4 linked regions of the Rattus norvegicus genome follow. The main gene of each other region encodes a partner of the protein of the gene in region 2 in a complex. Links are inferred from orthologs where the notes say so. Each region holds a gene or a part of one and is shown on either strand. Other genes may lie near its edges.

What was found.
Region 1: Med25 (region 2) and Med19 share a complex: the UniProt entries of both Homo sapiens proteins name them as parts of the mediator complex. The link is inferred for Rattus norvegicus from reciprocal best matches to the Homo sapiens genes MED25 and MED19.
Region 3: Med25 (region 2) and Med31 share a complex: the UniProt entries of both Homo sapiens proteins name them as parts of the mediator complex. The link is inferred for Rattus norvegicus from reciprocal best matches to the Homo sapiens genes MED25 and MED31.
Region 4: the proteins of Med25 (region 2) and Med16 are in contact, whole or in part, in a cryo-EM structure (PDB 7EMF), measured with the Homo sapiens proteins. The link is inferred for Rattus norvegicus from reciprocal best matches to the Homo sapiens genes MED25 and MED16. Residues at the interface, in NP_112235.2 of Homo sapiens: Ala26, Asn27, Gly29, Pro30, Tyr31, Val74, Asp75, Cys76, Ala77, Pro78, Glu79, Val82, Cys84, His85, Pro87, Lys102, Phe103, Met104, Gly105, Gly106, Gly107, Gly108, Glu109, Thr120, Gln123, Leu124, Asp127, Phe128, Tyr151, Leu152; in NP_005472.2 of Homo sapiens: Cys41, Arg42, Ser92, Ser94, His113, Arg161, Lys163, Phe171, Gly172, Gly173, Lys174, Pro195, Gly485, Tyr486, Ala516, Ala517, Gln520, Val521, Thr524, Arg525, Ile554, Ala555, Ser558, Lys561, Ser562, Leu563, Leu564, Arg565, Pro566, His567.

What each region holds. Positions count from the first base shown.
Region 1 is NC_086021.1:90,167,282-90,172,013, reverse strand, and holds the start of Med19 (mediator of RNA polymerase II transcription subunit 19), read right to left. Parts: upstream 3,186-4,732; 5' UTR 3,142-3,185; coding exon 2,925-3,141; exon of another isoform or gene 2,736-2,924; intron 1-2,735. Other genes in the region: Tmx2 (thioredoxin-related transmembrane protein 2 precursor), read left to right, coding at 3,547-3,735. UniProt on the Homo sapiens protein: Component of the Mediator complex, a coactivator involved in the regulated transcription of nearly all RNA polymerase II-dependent genes.
Region 2 is NC_086019.1:104,498,831-104,502,533, forward strand, and holds part of Med25 (mediator of RNA polymerase II transcription subunit 25), read right to left. Parts: intron 2,069-3,703; coding exon 1,880-2,068; exon of another isoform or gene 1,616-1,879; intron 1,610-1,615; coding exon 1,538-1,609; intron 1,441-1,537; coding exon 1,222-1,440; intron 1,076-1,221; coding exon 898-1,075; intron 486-897; coding exon of another isoform or gene 388-485; exon of another isoform or gene 355-387; intron 1-354. UniProt on the Homo sapiens protein: Component of the Mediator complex, a coactivator involved in the regulated transcription of nearly all RNA polymerase II-dependent genes.
Region 3 is NC_086028.1:57,335,705-57,340,613, reverse strand, and holds the start of Med31 (mediator of RNA polymerase II transcription subunit 31), read left to right. Parts: upstream 1-1,724; 5' UTR 1,725-1,780; coding exon 1,781-1,808; intron 1,809-2,698; coding exon 2,699-2,776; intron 2,777-3,049; coding exon 3,050-3,146; intron 3,147-4,739; coding exon 4,740-4,909. Other genes in the region: C10h17orf100 (uncharacterized protein C17orf100 homolog), read right to left, coding at 1,027-1,428. UniProt on the Homo sapiens protein: Component of the Mediator complex, a coactivator involved in the regulated transcription of nearly all RNA polymerase II-dependent genes.
Region 4 is NC_086025.1:10,447,611-10,452,457, forward strand, and holds the start of Med16 (mediator of RNA polymerase II transcription subunit 16), read left to right. Parts: upstream 1-1,662; 5' UTR 1,663-1,717; coding exon 1,718-1,795; intron 1,796-1,977; exon of another isoform or gene 1,978-2,122; intron 2,123-2,561; exon of another isoform or gene 2,562-2,637; coding exon 2,638-2,803; intron 2,804-3,162; coding exon 3,163-3,270; intron 3,271-3,455; coding exon 3,456-3,625; intron 3,626-4,847. UniProt on the Homo sapiens protein: Component of the Mediator complex, a coactivator involved in the regulated transcription of nearly all RNA polymerase II-dependent genes.

The sequences.
Region 1 (4,732 bases), on a different chromosome or scaffold from region 2:
GAAATGTAAATAAAAAAATCCATAAAAGGGGGGGGGCATGATTCTAAAAACCAAATTTTGAATTCCCAACTCTTTCTATGTCAATTCTATGCAGATTCATTTTTTTTCCTTTCTTGAAAGTCTAAATATTGTTTACATCATTATGGCCCCTCTATTCCAAACCTGAGAACTCATGTTCTGTAGTTTTAGAAACAAAAACCAGTGGTACAGTGCTTAGGTGCTTATGTAGCTTGTGGAAGGTCTTGAGTGTGATTTTAAGCATGGGGGTGCTCTATTTAAATAACCTCTATTTAAATTCCCATGGTACTAGAATCTAATAATTTTTTAAAATTTTAAATTTTTTTTGATATAGAGTCTCTCTCTAAAGTCTTGGATGACTTGGAACTCACTAGGTAGACCAAGTTAGCCTTGAACTGAGAGATCAACCTGCCTCTTGATTTATCCTGAAAGATTTATTTTTATCCTATTTGGTGTGTGTGCGTGTGTGTGTGTGCGCGTGCGCGTGTGTGTGTGTTGTGTTGTGTGGATGTATGCCACATATTATTTGAGTGCCTATGGAGGTCAGTAGAGGGTGTTGGGATCCCTGGAGCTGGAGTTACATACAATTGTGAGGCTCCCATATGGATTATGGGAACCAAGCTTGGTCCTTTGGACAACATCAAATGTCCTTAACTGCATGACCTTAGAGTCATCTTTACAGTTCCAATGGACCTTTTCAAGGCAAGGTCTCATGTAGCCAGCAATGACCTTGGGCTCCTGATCTTCCTGTGTACATCTCCCAAGGGCTGGGATTATAGAAATATACCATCAAGCCCGGTTTGTCAAGTATGGAGAATGAATATAGAGGTCTTTATGCATGCTAAGCATGTACTCTTCCAACTAAACTACATCCCTAGCCTTCCTAATCAAATTTTATTACAACTTAACTTTGGAGCCTGATCAACTACTAATCTTCCTGCAAAATTTCTAATGTATCCAGATAGATCTACGTATCCTCTGGGTAGAAAACAGCAACAAAACTGTACCACTATTTCCTTTGAGAAAATAACTTTCTAATTTTGTTTGCCTATATAAATTCTTCAGAGTTCAGTTCAAATGACATCTTATTATTGCTGTCATTTTGGCTAACACATTTTGAAAACCATCAGGTAGTTTTAAACACTGCTTCCTGTGTGAAGCATGACTATAAAGTAGTAAACAGACACCCACAAAGATACAAGCACCATCCTTAAACCATGTATTATGGATCTCAAAAAGTAAGCTACGTAAAAACCCGGCTTAATAATCTCCCCTTCTCAGAATCCCACCATACCCAGCGTTTGCCTCGGAGATTCAGTATTTATCAACTGATTTATATATAAATGGCATAATCAGAACAGGAAATGCAAAAGATAAACTGCTGGAAGAAGCTGGGCATGGTGGCACATACCTGAAGGCTGAGATTAAGTGGATCTCTGTGAGTTCAAGGCCAGCCAAGTCTACAGTGAATTTGAGACAAGCCAGGGCTACATAGTGAGGCAAAACAACTAAAATAAGGAAAAAGAGAACTTCTGGAAGACACCTGTCATTAAAGCACATATAGTTATTTCTTTATGCTTCAGTCCTCAACTATAAAATATAATACCTATCTATCTAAAAGGGCTACATATTGTACACACCTCACTGATGTGAACTTTAAACTACTGTGCTAATAGCTAATTGGGATAACTGAACTTCTATTTTTCTTTTTTTGAAGCAGGATCTCATGTCCTCTAGGCTGGGCTGGAACTCCAGAACCTTCTGCCTTCACCTCCTGAGTGCTGGTATATAGTACCACAAGTTCCCTAAGATTTAACATATCCAGAACACCTCTTGATTTTTAGCTCTTCAAATTTTTTCTTTCCATAACTTCCTACTCTCAGACTACTATAACCTTTGTACAGAACACCCACAATTCCTCTGTTTATATTTAGTTCTTTATTTCTGTAGGCTTCACCTTTATCATGTATCCTGTATTCATTTGCTTCTCTACTGCTAAGTCCTGGTCCAAACCATTCTCTTTTAGGAACACTGATTTCTGATTACCCCATTTTCACTTATGTTTCTGCTGAATATCTTTTTAAAAAAAAAAATCACTAAATTAGCTCATTCCCCCCCCCCCCCATGTTGAAATTGACTTCAACTTGAACTTTAAACCTACATTGCCTTATAAAGGCCTCTACCTATTTTCCATCAGTACTGGAATTGTTCCTTTCCTTGAATTCAATGTGTCTTCTGCCCCTCAGATATTCTAAGCACCCCCCCCCCCATCTTCCCCTCCAAAACAGGTCTCCTGATGTAGTTTCTTCTATCTAGTATCTTCTCTCTGTCCAAGGACCGATGGCTTTGTTTATTCTTGAATGTTACCTACTCAGAGATGATTCTGTGAACACGCGCCTTATGCATGGCAGTCAAGAGTTCTACCACTGAGCCACGCCCCCCCCCAATTTTCCCGAATAACTAACTTTATGAATGTAAGAATTGATTCAATTCTAGTCCTTTCTTTGAGCGGGTTAATCTCCAAGTCCCTGACGAGGAAGGCAACTTGCTATAAACCAACAAGTTTGTGACAGACTTTAAACTAAAATCTTACTGTCTCCAGAAACGTTAAATCAGGTCTCCCGAGTTCCAAACAATGGCTCGTTTTCATAGAGTCACAAACAGCGGTTAGAGAACCCGGATCACAGAACTTCTCGCTAGAGGTAGTCCCAGATATTCACACCCAACCCAAACCCACCCCGGGAAATCAAGTTATCTTTTAGAGTTGTGAATCGCCAAAGGGCTTCTGACACTGTTGCCCACTGGCCACCCGTAGCCCTGTTATCTTACACCTTGCGCTGCAGGATGCTAGCCACAACGGTCACCTAAACTATTATCTGATTGGCTACTTTTGGCCCACTACTCACCTGGCAATTCCCGCATAAGGTAGAAGGGACCGCTTCCAGCCGTGGACTTATCCGCTCCCACGGGGGCCGAGGTCGCGGTCGAAGGTGGAGCCGTGCCTGGACCACCTCCCGGAGGAGGAGGGGGTGGCGGCGGAGGCTTTCCAGGCCCGAACCCTAGTGCGCTTGGTGGCGGTGGGGGGTCAGTTTGAGCTCCGAACAGGGCTGTGAAGTTCTCCATAGCACTCGCCGCTCTTGGTTACCCGGGATCTGGCGTTAATTACTTTCATTGGACAGCACTTTCACAGGGTACCACCCTCTTGGTTTAACAGCTTCCCATCATTGGATACGCTAAGCTCCGCCCACCATCTTCCGGCAACTTACTTCCTTTGCCCTGAGAGATTGTTCAGGTAGTGTTTCACAGACTAATAGCCAATAAAATGACTCAGGTAGAAAAGCGACAATTATGAGGACCAATAGACTATCTAATTCATTTTCCGATCTATTATAGCACCCAATAAGAGATCTACATCCGGGTCTGGAGGCGTTGCATCTGATATTTGGCCCAATAGAAGCCTTGCTGTTGGGGGCGGAGGACGACGATTTGGGGAGCGGGAGTGAGCCTGCAAGAGTGTAGGCAGGGAAGATGGCTGTCCTCGCGCCTCTGATTGCCTTGGTGTACTCGGTGCCGCGGCTTTCTCGATGGCTGGCCAGACCTTATTGCCTTCTGTCTGCCCTGCTTTCCATTGCTTTCCTCCTCGTGAGGAAGCTGCCGCCGATTTGCAACGGTCTCCCCACGCAGCGCGAAGATGGCAACCCGTGTGACTTTGACTGGGTGAGCGCCCCCTGCCTTAGTAGCTGTCGACCTTGACCATCCATCCCTGCCCTGCAGGTGCATGTGAAGATGGGAGGGCGGGTTTCGAGTGTAGCTTACACACTTGAGTGGAGAGCCTAGGCCGTTATCTAGTCCTTACCTTCGTGTTAAAGATGGAGAAACAGATTCCAGGGTTTCCATCACAGATGAACAATATTCTTCTGTGATTCCAAGTTCCTTGGGGCGCCACTGACGAAGACTAGGCCCGTGGTAGAAATACCATTTAAATTTTTCTAATTTTTAACGAAGTGATCACAGTGTAGTTAGGCGATTTTTCAAGGTAACACAGCGTTCACTAAGTGCTGTCTAACCTTAATCAATTCTCTGATAGACCGGCAGACATAGGTCACTGACTCAACAAAATAAATGACTTTGGTGGAAAAATCGTCTGCTCTGGGCATAACAACTGTGCGCACTATCTTCCTGAGGTGGGATAGGAAAACAGGGAAGGTTACAAAAATACGAGGTGGGGGGAAGCCCATCAACCATCTAAGAAGCAATATTTAAGAACAGTTAACATTTACCGTGAAGGTTGTGGACATAGAGCTAATATTTTTTTTTCATATACAGATATTTATGCTATAACAGCAATGACCAGGACTAAAGGTATTAATATAACCTTGGGTAGGCCTCACATGTTCTGGGACTCTCAAACAAGATTATTAACTTTGTTTACATTAAAGATACAATACTGTTGCGGGGCTTTGGGTTGTACCATTTTAACCCAGCACTCTAGAGACAAAGGCAGGTGACTTCTGTAAGATTGATGTAAGCCTGATCTATATAGGGCTTTCTAGATCCATCAGGACTACATAGTTAGACCCTAACTCAAAACAAAAGAGCACCAGATACCCTACTTATTTCTATTCCTGTACTCTGGAATCTTACTTTATAAATTACAACTCTGCCAGGTGCCTCTTAAGATTTGCCCTATGATTTCATTAGGCCCTCTGAAGAG
Region 2 (3,703 bases):
GCTCCGGCTCCTTCCTGAAATGCTCATCCCAGGAGCGTCCACCTCCTGGCCCTGCACGCCCCTTTTCTGTGGCTTTGGCTATCTGCACCTAGGTCCCTTCTGGCTCCCAATTACTGCTTCTCCTTCCAGGCTCCTCGGAACCCTGGCTGGGTCAGAGGCATTCTGGGCTCCATAACCCCTTAAGTGCACGTGAGCTGTACACTACCTGCCCACCTGCCTCCAAGTCTCGCAGAACCAGGCACACCATGCTGCCTCCAACTCACCCCAGGGCCCAGCATCACCCAGCCGGGGCCTTGGGGAGTCTGCAAGGCGAGAGCAAAGACTGCCCTAGGGGTGTCAGTGACGGGAGCCGGGCATTGTTAAAAGGAACTTTATTGGGTGTTGGGTTCAGATGAGGTCCATGAGGATGTCGTCCTCCATGACGCTGGGCTGCAGGCCCGGCTGGGGAACCGGGCCCCGGGGACCCCCGCTCAGCAGCATCTGACCTGGGGGGCATCGGGAAGGGACTGCATCTCCCAGTGGTCCCTGGGGCCATTGAGGGCCCTAGGCCTCTCATCCCACTTCCTCTGAGAACCCAAGGCAGTAAGGTTTCTAGGAAGCTCCAGGGAACACCAGAGGTCCTTCTAAGCCCAACTGGATATAGACACTTTTCTAACCCTTCGGGAGCCCTTCCCCCACACGCATCGCTTCACTAACCCTAAGACATCTTCCAGCACCCCAGGACAGAATATAAGGTTTGTGGGAAGTTTCCACCACTGAAGCCTTGCTCCTGTACTGAACTTCCCAATGGCCCTTTAAGTCCCCTTGAGCTATGGGAGGCCCTTTGGTAATAGGGTCCTTAACAGTGACTTCAGGGACTCCCACTCTAGAACCCTGCCCTCCCCTGGAGCCCCTTACCTGGCAGTGGCGCCCTCTGGGGTAGCTGTGTGGGCCAAGACTGGGTAGGTGGAGGGTGCAGGAGTTGCGGCCCTAGCTGCGGCTGCCCCAGGCTCTGATGTGGCGGCAGCAATGCAGGGGCCCCTGGAGGCTGGAGGTGGTGTAGGGAGGCCTGGGGTGGGGGTACCCCAGTCTGGGGCTGAGTGAAGAAGACAAAGAATGACTCAGAGGACCCAGTCTAAACTCCAGGAAGGTCCTCCACCCTGGGAGCCTTGTCCACCACTTCCTCCCAGAAACACTGGGTGAGAACCTGCCATTCCCTGCTGCTTTAATCCCAAGCCTCACCGGTGCTGGATTAAGGAGAAGGCTCCGCAGCTGGGGGTTGGCTCCAGGGTTCTGGGGTCGAAGGATGGGTCCAGAAGGAGGTGGGCCAGGGGCTGCTCCAGGAGGACCTTGGGGTGCCCCTGTTGGGGCCTGGGTAGTACCTTGGGGCTGGGGCTGCCCTGTAGCCGCAGAAGCTCCCACAGCACCCTGAGGCTGAGGCTGTGGTGCACGGAGCTGTAACTGAGGAACAGAGAGCATGAGGAAGGACAGTACAGTGGCTGCCCCAAGTCCACCCACCTCCATCCCCAACCCCACCAGTCCCCACTTCAGTCCTCACTAGATTCTGCGGGGGCCTCGCTTGGTCCTCCAGAATGGGGCCCAGGCCTGGAGGTGCCTGCTGTGCCCCCATCTGCACGGGGACAGAGAGGACAGGTCAGATGAGGGAAGGTGACTCACACTGTAGGGAGGACCTGGTGTAGAGAAGCAGGGTGCCTTTTTCTGGGGGCACACCATCTTGGAGAGGCATGACACCCTGCCTGGTTGTAAGGTGGGTCTTGTGTCAGGAATTTGAAGTGCACACTGAAAAGGGACTAAAGCTGCTCTGCTAGGGACAAGGGACTCAAAGGAGATGTCTGGAGACAGGAGGCCATGGTGACTAGCTGGCTGGGCCCGCACTCACCCCACGCTGCTGCTCTAGCTTCTGCTGCTGGACCTGCTTATGGTTGGTGATGACCTGGCGGATGCCATTGACGAAGCCACTCTGGTCGTAGGGGATGAGGCCCATGAAGATCTTCTTCTTAGACGAGTACAGGAGCATGAGCACGCGCACCTCGCACGGGGCTGTATGTGGGAAGTGCACGCAGCCGGCCTGTGGGCAGAGACGCTTCAGAAACTGCCTACCATAGGGACACCAGGATAGCCCTCCTCATTCTATAAAACCCTACAAGCCCTGTGGCAAGAGGTAGGGAGGTCTCATTTCATTGTACAGTGCTAAGGAGGGCAGGTCTGCTTGGCATCTGCCCCAGAAACAAAAACTGAGTGACAGGCAATGAACTGGGCATTCAAATGGCATAGGAAGAGTGAAGCACCCACTGACCACTGAGGAGAGGGAAGACACCAGGCCACATCAGAAACCCACGGAGACCCTGACTAGGCCCTCCACCTCCTTGTCTCACTTCTGCACAGCGCTGGACTGCCTCCCCAAATCACACTGGAAAGGGCTCTGCTGGGAAGGATGCCAGAAAGATGGGGTTAGACCCTTAAGGGTCTCTCTATCTCTCTGCCACAACATCTGCCAGCATGGATTAGGGAACAGCAACATGACATTTAGAAGTCAGAGTGCCGGGCTGGAGAGATGGCTCAGCGGTTAAGAGCACCCGACTGCTCTTCCAGAGGTCATGAGTTCAATTCCCAGCAACCACATGGTGGCTCACAACCATCTGTAAAGAGATCCGATGCCCTCTTCTGGTGTATCTGAAGACAGCTACAGTGTACTTATATATAATAAATGAATAAATCTTTAAAAAAAAAAAGAAGTCAGAGTGCCTCCTCAGACTCTCAGGGAACTGGCTTTGGCTACCTGGGTTCTCTTCTCAGGACCTAGGTTCCCTCAGCCTGCAGCTGCTGCTCATCAACACACAACCTCTCCTGTTCTGCCCAGTACAGAACAGGGCAGTGCCACCGAAGCCCGAGTGCTGGTGAATGCCCTCCCCTACAAGGGGTGCAGCCTAGTGACCCAACTCTGCCCAGATTAAAGGAGGCCTGGCCAGAGGCTTTGGGTATTTCTCATTTCCTGAAGGAGATTCCAGCCACTGCCTCTTCCGCATGCTTAGGGTACCCAGAAGCTAAGATAACTACCTTTACCTATAAGAGGTCTAGGAATGACGTCACTGAGCTCCCTGCTGGGTCCTGTTATAGCGCAGAATTCAGTGTCTACGCTGATGGGCCACACCTCTGAGGGCTCTGGGCACAGCTGAGTTTCTAACAGCACCAGCAGAATTCCAAAGTGCTTGACACCCACACACAGAGTAGGTACAGCAGACAACAATGTCACAGAGGTGAAAAGGGCCATGAGGCTGATGACCAACAGTACCCTCTGCCTGGGACAAAGCAGGCACAGAAGTCACCATGCCTAACCCCATGTGCACTTGTGTCTTCCCCAAACACAAACTGCAACTGACACCCAGGAAGGTGAGATGACTCAGAAGCCGCCTCTACGACAGTCAGAGGAGTCATGAGGGCAGGCCCTATCCAACAGTAAACAAGGGGACAGAGCAGCCAGGCTTGACTACACATGTCTACAAATGCAGCCCTCAGGAGCCTGAGGCAGCAGGACTTGTCTCAAATCAGCATCAACCACCACATCAACAACCACCACCACAACCACCACCACCACAACCACAAGCCAGCACCATGGGCCAGGGACTTTGCAGGCCCTAGGACACATGTAGTTAGGAAAGGGCCAGGTATCATCTGCAGTGTCACAGAGTGACATTATCAGCAG
Region 3 (4,909 bases), on a different chromosome or scaffold from region 2:
CCACTGGGATTTCCAAGACTCTATATGAATTGGCATATTCTCCACCCCCCCCCATTATACCACAATCTCATACACTGCTTTTTCTCTTCCATAAACATCTCCAATTTTTTTTTTAAAATGTACTGTGTAAAATGTACTTCCCTGTAGATCCTGATATGGCTTGCTGCTAACCCACACAATCTCAGACCAAGTGTCATCAGCAAGGCTTTCCCTGACCATGTTCTCGAAAGAGCGCCCTACTCGCTACCACAAGATAGATACCTTATCTTTCACAGGAATACAACAGAACATCGTCTTACTTTCTCTTCACTTGAGAAGATCTTAGTCTTTTCCACTGCTATAGCCGACAAGTTCTGACTGGTACCAAGCATGCTGTAGGTACTCAGTAACCATCCTCTGCCAATCTCACGCCCCAGACCAAGTGTCATGGCTGCTTCTTCACGTTCCCTCCCAAGATTAGTATTTTTTTTTCTCAATTGCCCTGCCCTTATTTTTCTAATAGCTCCTGACCTATTTTTTAAAGTGTAGATGGAATACTGTGTATAACAACTTAACACGAGAAAACTTATTATGAAATATAAATATTATTAAAGGGTAATTAACAATTTGTGAAAGATGATGCCTTGCTCTGTAGGTTTCAAGCAGGTATATGATCAGGCCAGTAGTCAAGAAACATGACAAATCTGGCCCCTCTTCGCAGATTTCAAGTCGTCAACACATTCTAGAGGGACCTAAGACTATAAAACTTACCTGGTGTAGAGACTCAAAGAATCTCTTTGTCCATCGTCTGGGTTTACACAGTACTACAAATCGGAAACCTTTCTGTGCTGGCTTCAGGTTAATAGTACGCTGGGTCAACAGCAGGATGGACTAAGGTGCTGCAATGTCAATACATGTTAACAGTGCCCAGAAACCACAGCCTGCTTCTTACACTGTTTTATGGGCTGTTTCCATGAAACCAAAGATACTTGGCTCTCCTGGAAGCTGGCTGGCAATTCCTCAGTCCTGGCTAAGGACCATGGCACTTCATCGAGTCATTCTGGCACTCTGCCGAGTGGCTTGCTTGTCTCGCCTGGCTGGGCTCTCTACGCGGTGCACAGTAGTCTCCACCCGCAGGGATGACGACGCCCTGACGTGGCGGGAGGACGTTTCCATGCACTGCGAGGAGGTTTCCACGTGCTGGGAGGACACCTCGAGGAATTGAGGGAGTCGCTTCGCGGAGGGGGTGAGGGAGGGTCCCTCTCGGTGGCGCTGGGAGGTCTCCACTTGCCGGGAAGACGTTAGAACCTGCCGGGAGGACGTCTCCACGCGGTGGGATGACGTTTCCTCGCGGTGGGACGACGTCTCCATGCGGACAGTCGATGTCTCCTTGTGGCGGGTGCTTTCCACTCGCGGGACGGAGGACTTGCTCCTAAGGGGCGAGGCCATCCTGCCCGTACACTTTGGTCAGGAGGAACAAAGAAGCCCAAGGATCATGCTCTGCGTCACGCCACCCGGGGGAAGGTGACGTCAGAGAGGTGTATTACATCAGAGTAGGCAGCAGGACTCAGACCTGAAATCAGAGAAGCCCTCCGGCACGCCCCGCTCGATATCTGCGCGCGCAGTCGGCCCGGTCCGCACAGATGGGCGGGGCCACTCTTCCCCAAAGTGAAGTTGTCCCCGCCCTCGTGTCCCACTCTGCCCCGCGACCGGAAGTAGGACCCGTGACTTCCGGATTCTCCTTCACCAATCCGGGCTGCGGTTGGGTCGGGTTGGTAGTGTTTGCGCCTTTCTGCTTGCTATGGCCGCGGCCGTCGCTATGGAGACAGGTGCGTTGTGTTTTGCACGGGAATGGTCCTTCGCCCCAAAATCCTCTCCCGTTTCCCTTCCCCTGCGCCGTCTTCCGGGCTCAACTCCTCATCCTTAGAGTTGGGACCGGCGGAGGAGAAGGCGGTGTTGCCCCCCAGAATATGGCCTGTAGGACCAACTTTGCTCCTGTGTTGCTCTAACCCCTACTCCAACCCTGACTCGCGGGGCGGGCCGGGGCGCATAGAAAGGACTGAGACCTTCCACTGTCTGCTCTTTGGAACTTCTCCAAACTTGCCTGAAATGTCGGTAACCTGTGTATTCTAATGCATATCACCGTCTTCTCTCCATTGTTTAATCATTCCTGCTTCGTTTTTGTGTAGCACTTTGTTTTTGCTTAACGTAATTAGTTGTGGTTATAACAACATAGGGAACCGTACAGCTATTGCAGACTATCCGATAATCTCCGCTCACGTCCTTCCACAGTGGCGTACAGGTTCTACATATTTTTTCCTCAACGAACTTTAAAGGATTTTTTTATTACTATTTTTGTTTTGGAAACAGGGCTCACTAAGTAGTGAATTAAACTAAATTTCTAAGGAAGTTTCTTCCACACTTTGATATTTGAGTTCATTCATGAGTGTGCATGTGTGTGTGTGTTTATGGGGGTGAGCGGCGGTGCATGCCAAGGTTAGAGGACAACTTGCAGAAATCGGTTGTCTTCCTACAACCCTGTAGGTTCCAGGAATCGAACTCAGGTCATCAGACTTTGCAGCAAGCACCTTTACTTGCTGAGCTGTTTGACCTGCGTTTTATTTTTGTTTCTACAAATCAATGTTTGTATTGTGACTTTTATTTTGGGTGATCGTTCCTTCCTTCTTTCTCTTTTTTTTTTTACTGTCTTTTCTCCTAGATGATGCTGGAAATCGACTTCGGTTTCAGTTGGAGTTGGAATTTGTGCAATGTTTAGCCAACCCAAATTACCTTAATTGTAAGTTAAGTACATCATTAACTTAAGTAGCTCACTAGATCTTAATGGTTTCTGAGAAGAGATGCAATTTGTAATAGTATTTATTTACTTCGATGTGTTTGGGGTTTTACTTGTGCTGGTCTGTAAGTATCAACTGAGCAAACAAGGGCTTGTGTTTTTTAATCCCTTGTGTTTTGTCGGTAGGGATGTTAAGAAGAGCTACTTTACTTAAGAGATTACAGATCAGCAGCCCAGCAGTGGTTGACATACAGAGTGTTTCTTTGTGTCTTTCAGTTCTCGCCCAAAGAGGTTACTTCAAAGACAAAGCTTTTGTTAATTATCTTAAGTACTTGCTTTACTGGAAAGAACCAGAATATGCCAAATATCTAAAGTAAGTTTAATTTTTAAAATCCCAAAGCTGTGTGTACTTTATTATAAATACTAAGTGCTATTATTTAGCAGTTTTCTCGGTGTCAGAATGGAAAACAGCATTTGGGATCTTTCTGCTTTTAGTTGATGTAAGACGCTGTTATCTCTAACTTGGGTTGATTATGACAGGAATTTCATTTATTTCTGCTACCATTCTTACCTCACTCCCTTCAAACAAAACCAAAGAACTGTCTACGTGGGAGCCAGCTTACTCTCTTGGCAGTGTAAGTCAGAGCATACTGTTCGTGCAGGCTAAGATCCAGTGAACTGTTGTAGACTACAGTTCTAATGTAATTTGGTCGTGTCTAACCATGTCACTTAGCACTGCCCCTGTCTTTCTGGGGTTTTGAGGCCTAACAACCCATAACCTGTGACGGTAGGAAGAACTGTTTCCTGAGAGTCTTAGAGGTCCTGCCTTTCTTTGTGGTGTCCTTTGTTTCAATCACTGTGCGTATTAACTCACTGTAAAAGAACAGACACAACAATATCACATCAAACTCTGCTTTGACTTAAAAAGAGAAAAGAAAGCCAAGCTGGCTTTAATCCCAACATTTGGGAGGCAGAGGCGGGCGCATGTGTGAGTTCAAGGCCAGAGCTGCTTCCAGGACAGCCACTCTACCCAGGTAAACCCTGTCTAGACACTGCCCCAAAGGAGGGGACAACAACAAAAACCCCAGAAGTAGCTTGGTGTCCCTTTAATCCCAGCTCTCAAGAGGCAGAGTCAGGCAGATCTCCGTGAATTTGAGGCCAGCCTGATTATGTTGCAAGCTTCAGGCCATTCAGGGCCACACAGAGAGACCCTATTTTAAAAATTAGAGGAAAACATTTCAAACCTTTTTTTTTTTTTTAATCGTAGTCATTTTTCTGACTTGATTCCTGGGCTGCCTGTAGATTTGCTCTTCATGATGCAATTCTAGATTCCTCTAGGAATCCAAATGATAGGCTTGAAATTACTATTAGAAAAGTATGGGGTTGGGGATTTAGCTCAGTGGTAGAGCGCTTGCCTAGGAAGCACAAGGCCCTGGGTTCAGTCCCCAGCTCCGAGAAAAAAAAAAAAAAGAAAAAAAAAAAAAGAAAGAAAAGTATAACATGTTACATGTTAGCAAACTTTTAGCCACCTTCAAGCTCAGTCTCTCCAGCCCAGCTGTTGAAAGATGATTGTCTCCGCTCTGTTGGAGGCTCCCTATGATCATAGGTCCCTCTACTATTAGAGGCAGCTTACTCCATTGATAGCCAGAGGTAAGGGAGCTCTTCTTATATACTCTGATCAAATACACCTCCTTGTAGCTCTAAGCCGTTTGTAGGCTTGTTCCTTATTCTGTTCATCTGTGTCCTCTTGGAGGTAACAGCTATAGATGTTTAAATTCGAGAGAAGTTGTGAAATAACTCCACTATATCTTGCATAATGTTCTGAATAACATGGTAGGAGTGATTTTACCAAAGGTACCATAGTAGTAGAAATGGTGGGCTTGAGATCATTTTTAGGGGAGTATCTGATTTAGAACTTGGGATGCCTTAAATTATGTTGATAATTGACTTATGAACTTAAACCCAGGTACCCTCAGTGTTTGCATATGTTAGAACTGCTCCAATATGAACACTTTCGAAAGGAGCTGGTGAATGCTCAGTGTGCGAAGTTCATTGACGAACAGCAGATTCTGCACTGGCAGCACTATTCGAGGAAGCGGATGCGTCTTCAGCAAGCCCTAGCAGAGCAGCAGCAGC
Region 4 (4,847 bases), on a different chromosome or scaffold from region 2:
CAAAACACCTAGCACCAGCCAGTAGTGGGCTCTTTTGTGACCCCTGCCTGACCCCTCCAGGTTTCAGCTCTGAAGAGGGTGGCTGGTCCTCTCTAGGACTCTGCTGACCTCCCCAGGGCACTTTTGTTTTGTGTGTGTGTGTGTGTGTGTGTTTGCGCGCGCGCGCGTGTGTGTGTGTGTGTTTGCGCGTGTGTGTGAGAGTGCGTGCGAGCACATGTATGCACGCCATGTGCCCGTGAACCTGGACAAGCTTCGTCCCAAGGGCTCATTTTATGCTTTCTTTTTTGGTGACGTGTGTATTATGTCCCCAGCTCCCTGCCTGCCTTTCAGACGGTCCCCTCTCCTCCTCCTCCCTTACACCAGGGGTCCAGGACTTCCAGCCAGAAGCCTCTGACCTTGTGTACCCTGTCCCCCTCCTCTGTCCCCTCTGCTGCCTGGCGTAGCTGTGGTCACGCAGAGTCCTCCCTTCCCCTTCCGTGTGACTCTTTGTGCTTGGGGAAAGGGACACTTTTAATAAAGCCTTGGTGCTCGGGCCTGCTGTGTGCTTATTTTTGGGGTTGGTGGGGTGGGAGAGATGAGACTAGGTCACTGAGGCTGGAGATCTGGACGTGGAGGAACCTCAAGTCTTGATGCGTTAGTTCATTTTACAACATGTAAAATGCATAAAGATGGGTGCCAGGCTGGGGTTTGGTGGGGAAAGCATTGGCTACCATGCTCAAAGCCCTGGTCCCATCTCCAATACCACATAAACCGTTACATGTGACCAATGGGTCAAGTGAGTTTCAGGCCAGCCTGGGCCATATGGGACAGACAAGTCTGATGTTGGACACCTTCAATCCCAGCACTCAGGAGCCAGAGGCTGATGGATATCTGAGTGCAAGGTCTACATAGCCAGGGCCACACAGTGACCCTGCCTCATACAAACAAAAGCCACTTGAGGGCCAACAAAATGGCTAAGCGGGTTAAGGTGCTTGCTGGCAAGTTCAGCAATCTGAGGAAGGAAAGAACTAATTCCGGGTCCTTTGACCTGCACTGTGGCAGGCATGTCACCCCCACCCCCCACCCCCACCCCCACCCCCACCCCCACCCCCACCCCCACCCCCACCCCCACCCCCACCCCCACCCCCAACGGTGTAAGTAAGTCCATGGCCAGGTGATGCACTTCTGACACCCCAGCAGGTAGAAGCTGTTACAGGAGAACCTCATCAGTGGGAGGCCAACCTGAGCTACAATGAGCCCTTCTGTCGAGAAACAAAATGGGAAAAACGTGTGCGGGCCTTCGTAGGACGTTATGCTGTATGCCAGTTATGCTGTATGCCAGTTCCTCTGAGAGGGCAAAATATGGAACGCTTCACGAATTTGCGTGTCATCCTTGCGCAGGGGCCATGCTAATCTTCTCTGTATCGTTCCAATTTTAGTATATGTGCTGCCGAAGCGAGCACGAACTACGGGCTTACCCAAGACATATTTATAGGCTCAAAATTGAGCTACTTCGCACTTAGGGTGAGTTTTCTCTGAAGGAATAGTATTTGTCCTGCTTATATAGTTAAGCCTTTCTATAAGATCTAGCCAATCATTCGAAAGAACAGATTATTTGTCTTTTATCGCACGTGTAGCCTCAATAATTACTAGGAAATTATTATATGCAAATTAACCGGGGCAGGGGCGTAGTCCGGTTCCCAGAAGTCTGTTCGAGGGGGCCGGCGCGGGCCGAGAAATGGCGGCGCCGGATCCCGGGCGTTGGGGCGAGTGTGGACCGCGGCCGCCCGGTCGGCTGGGCGCCCGGGGCGGACAGGTCAGTGCGGAGTGCGGGGTATGGGACTCCTGGCTGGTGCATTTCTGGCTTGGCCCGCGAGCGGAAGGCCGAGGGGCGGGGCCTGCGGGGTCAGAGGGCGGGCCTGGGAACAAAGCTTGCTGGGTAGAGGCCGGTGAGGGGGAGATGTGATTAGGTTCCCCGCTTAAGGTGAAGCCTGAGGCAACTAGGCTGGGGAGGGGGCGTGGTCCGAGGGGCTGAGACTCCCTGGGAGGGGCGTGGCCTGAGGTTCCGAAGTTGAGCGAAGGGGCGGAGCCTGAAGCAATAAGTCTGATAGAGAAGGCGGTGGGCTAAGGAGCGGAGCCTAAGGTGGGTCGGGGTTAGGGACTGAAGATCTGAGACTGATGCAGAGGGGTTGGTGACCTGATAGTCACAAACTGAAGAGAAGCGGGGGATGAATAAAGTTAGTAGTTTTGTTTGGAAGCAGAGCCTAGTGTGATTAGATAGTGTGGGTGGAGCTTAACGAGCTTGGGCGGGACGCGGTGAAGCACGTGTGTTAAGCCTCAGGTGGGCCTTGGATGTTAACTTATTGCGAGTGGGACTAATGGGCTGGGACGCGGCCTGAGCTACTAGGTTCCGGGGCAAGTCTCTGGAGTGTAGACTGAGGCCCAGACTGAAGTGGTAGGAGTGGGCCTGGTTGTGTGTGTGAGGGTGCTTAGCACTTGTAGGCTGAGCTCACAGCGATCTGGGTGGGTGATAGGTGGCCTAGGGAGGGGTGACCTCAGGTGGGGCATCATGGAATTTCTAGCAGGGCTCGAGCTGGAGAACATTCTAGACCCACTTTAGCCGGGAGCTGCTATAGAGCATGCCTCCCTTCTCCCCAGGAGCCAGGGACGGTGCTGGGTGCGGTGGGTATGATGGACCTAGCCTATGTGTGCGAATGGGAGAAGTGGGCCAAGAGCACGTACTGCCCGTCGCTGCCCCTGGCCTGCGCCTGGTCCTGCAGGAACCTCATTGCCTTCACCACAGACCTACGCAATGATGACCAGGGTAAGTGCTAGTTCTGTTTCCCTGACTGGGACCTGGGGATTGAGACCAAGTGGGTGGGCTGTGATTTCCTCATACAATGGGTCCCGATTTGGTAGGTTCATGGTGGCAGAGCCAGGCTCTCCATTGCCAGCTACAGGGTTTAGAGAGGCCTGGGAAAGCAAGGTGGGAGAAGAGACATCCACACTTTGGTCACCATCCTCCAAATCTAGTGATAGTGCCTCTGGAGAGACACTGGCTGCACTGGATACCCTGTGTAGGGATTAGCAGCATGGGGGAGGGGTGTTATAGGAGAGGGGCAATGGGGGTGGGAATCATGGGCACTGTGGACCACACTGACCTCAGTGTTCTCTTTCCTGCAGACCTCACACACATGATTCATATCCTTGACACAGAACATCCCTGGGAAGTGCACTCTGTCAGCTCTGGCCACAGTGAGGCCATCACCTGCCTGGAATGGGACCAGTCAGGTGAGGCCATGAGGTTTGCTCTCAATCCAAAGCCCAGGACAGCATATGCCACCTTCCTCAGTCATCAGTCCTAAGTCTGGAGCCTGGGGACAGCCACTGCCCACTGGGAGTCCAGAGTGGGGAGGGGACACCGAGCAGTTTACCTGCCCATCAGAAGGGCTCCTGACACAGCTCTTTCATCACAGGGTCCCGGCTCCTGTCTGCCGATGCTGACGGGCAGATCAAATGTTGGAGCATGGCTGACCACCTGGCCAACAGCTGGGAGAGCTCCGTGGGCAGCCAGGTGGAAGGGGACCCCATCGTGGCTCTGTCCTGGCTGCATAACGGGGTGAAACTGGCACTGCACGTAGAGAAGGTGAGTGTACCACTGGGGGACCAAGGGGTACATGGAACGGAACCAGGGGCTGGCATGTGCTGTGAGTACCTGTGGGTTACTGCTGTCCCCGAGAGCCTCTAACCCTGAGCCTCCCTTTCAGCTATGGCCCCTGGACAGGGAGTCTGTTTAACAGATGTCTGCGTCTGCAGTGCTGTCTTACAAACATCCTCAGACCCCAGAATCCTCCTGTCTGTCTATATTCTGGAGTTCAGCCACTTAGGAGCGGGGACAGAGTTGGACTCTAAGTCCTTTTCCCTTAGTAAGGGAGGGGAAGTGGCAGCCTGTGGGTCAGGAAGCACAACCAAAATTCAGTTCCATGATTGCTACAGGTTTTTGGAGCCTAACGGCTTTCACATTGCCTCTCATCCCCAATTCTAGTACTTAGGAGGCAGACAGCTCTCTCTGAGCTCAAGACCAGCCTGGTCTACATATCCAGGTCCAGGGCAGCCAGGGCTACACAGTGATACTTGTTCTCCAAATTTAATGTAAGGGCTAGAGAGGTAGGTGGCTCAGTGGTAGGAGTACCAGCTGCTCCTGCAGAGGACCTGGGTACATTCCCAGCCCCTCCATGGCGACTCACAGCCATCTGTAACTCCAGCTCCAAGGGACTCCGTGGGCATAAGCTCTTTGCAACCTAGTCCTCTAGCCCAGCAGAGGCAGCGGAAGAGAAAAGCTGTTAGGCTATGGGGGAAGTGGACCTGATGAGCAGTAGCTCTTTGAGGGTGAGCTAGCAGTGGTTCAGTCCCGCAGCAAACACCAAATAGGACTTAGCAGGCAGACACCAGGCACGAACCAGCAGCTGTAGTTCAATCCTGAAGAAAAACACCAGGAACCTCAGGAGCAGTTCTTGGCTGACTTTCTCTCAGTGACAGCGTTACCACAGCATTGAGCTCAACGATGCCATGTAAGGTAAACTAATGCATGCGTGTCTTTAGTGAAGAATCGTGAGGCAGAGCAAATCAAACCACAGCTCAGTGCCCGTCTCCCACTGTCTGTGAGGTCATAGTTCTACTCCTTCATTGTGGGTTCTTTACCATGTTTGCTATAGCAAATCATCCTTTCCCCCGTGTCTGCTTTAGCGAGACATCCTTTCTCCTGTTTGCTCCATCCAAACATCATTTGCCATAACTAACTTTCCAAAGAACTAGAAGTTCCCACTTGAGGACCCTACACCTTTCTCTGACACCCACAGACACCTCAA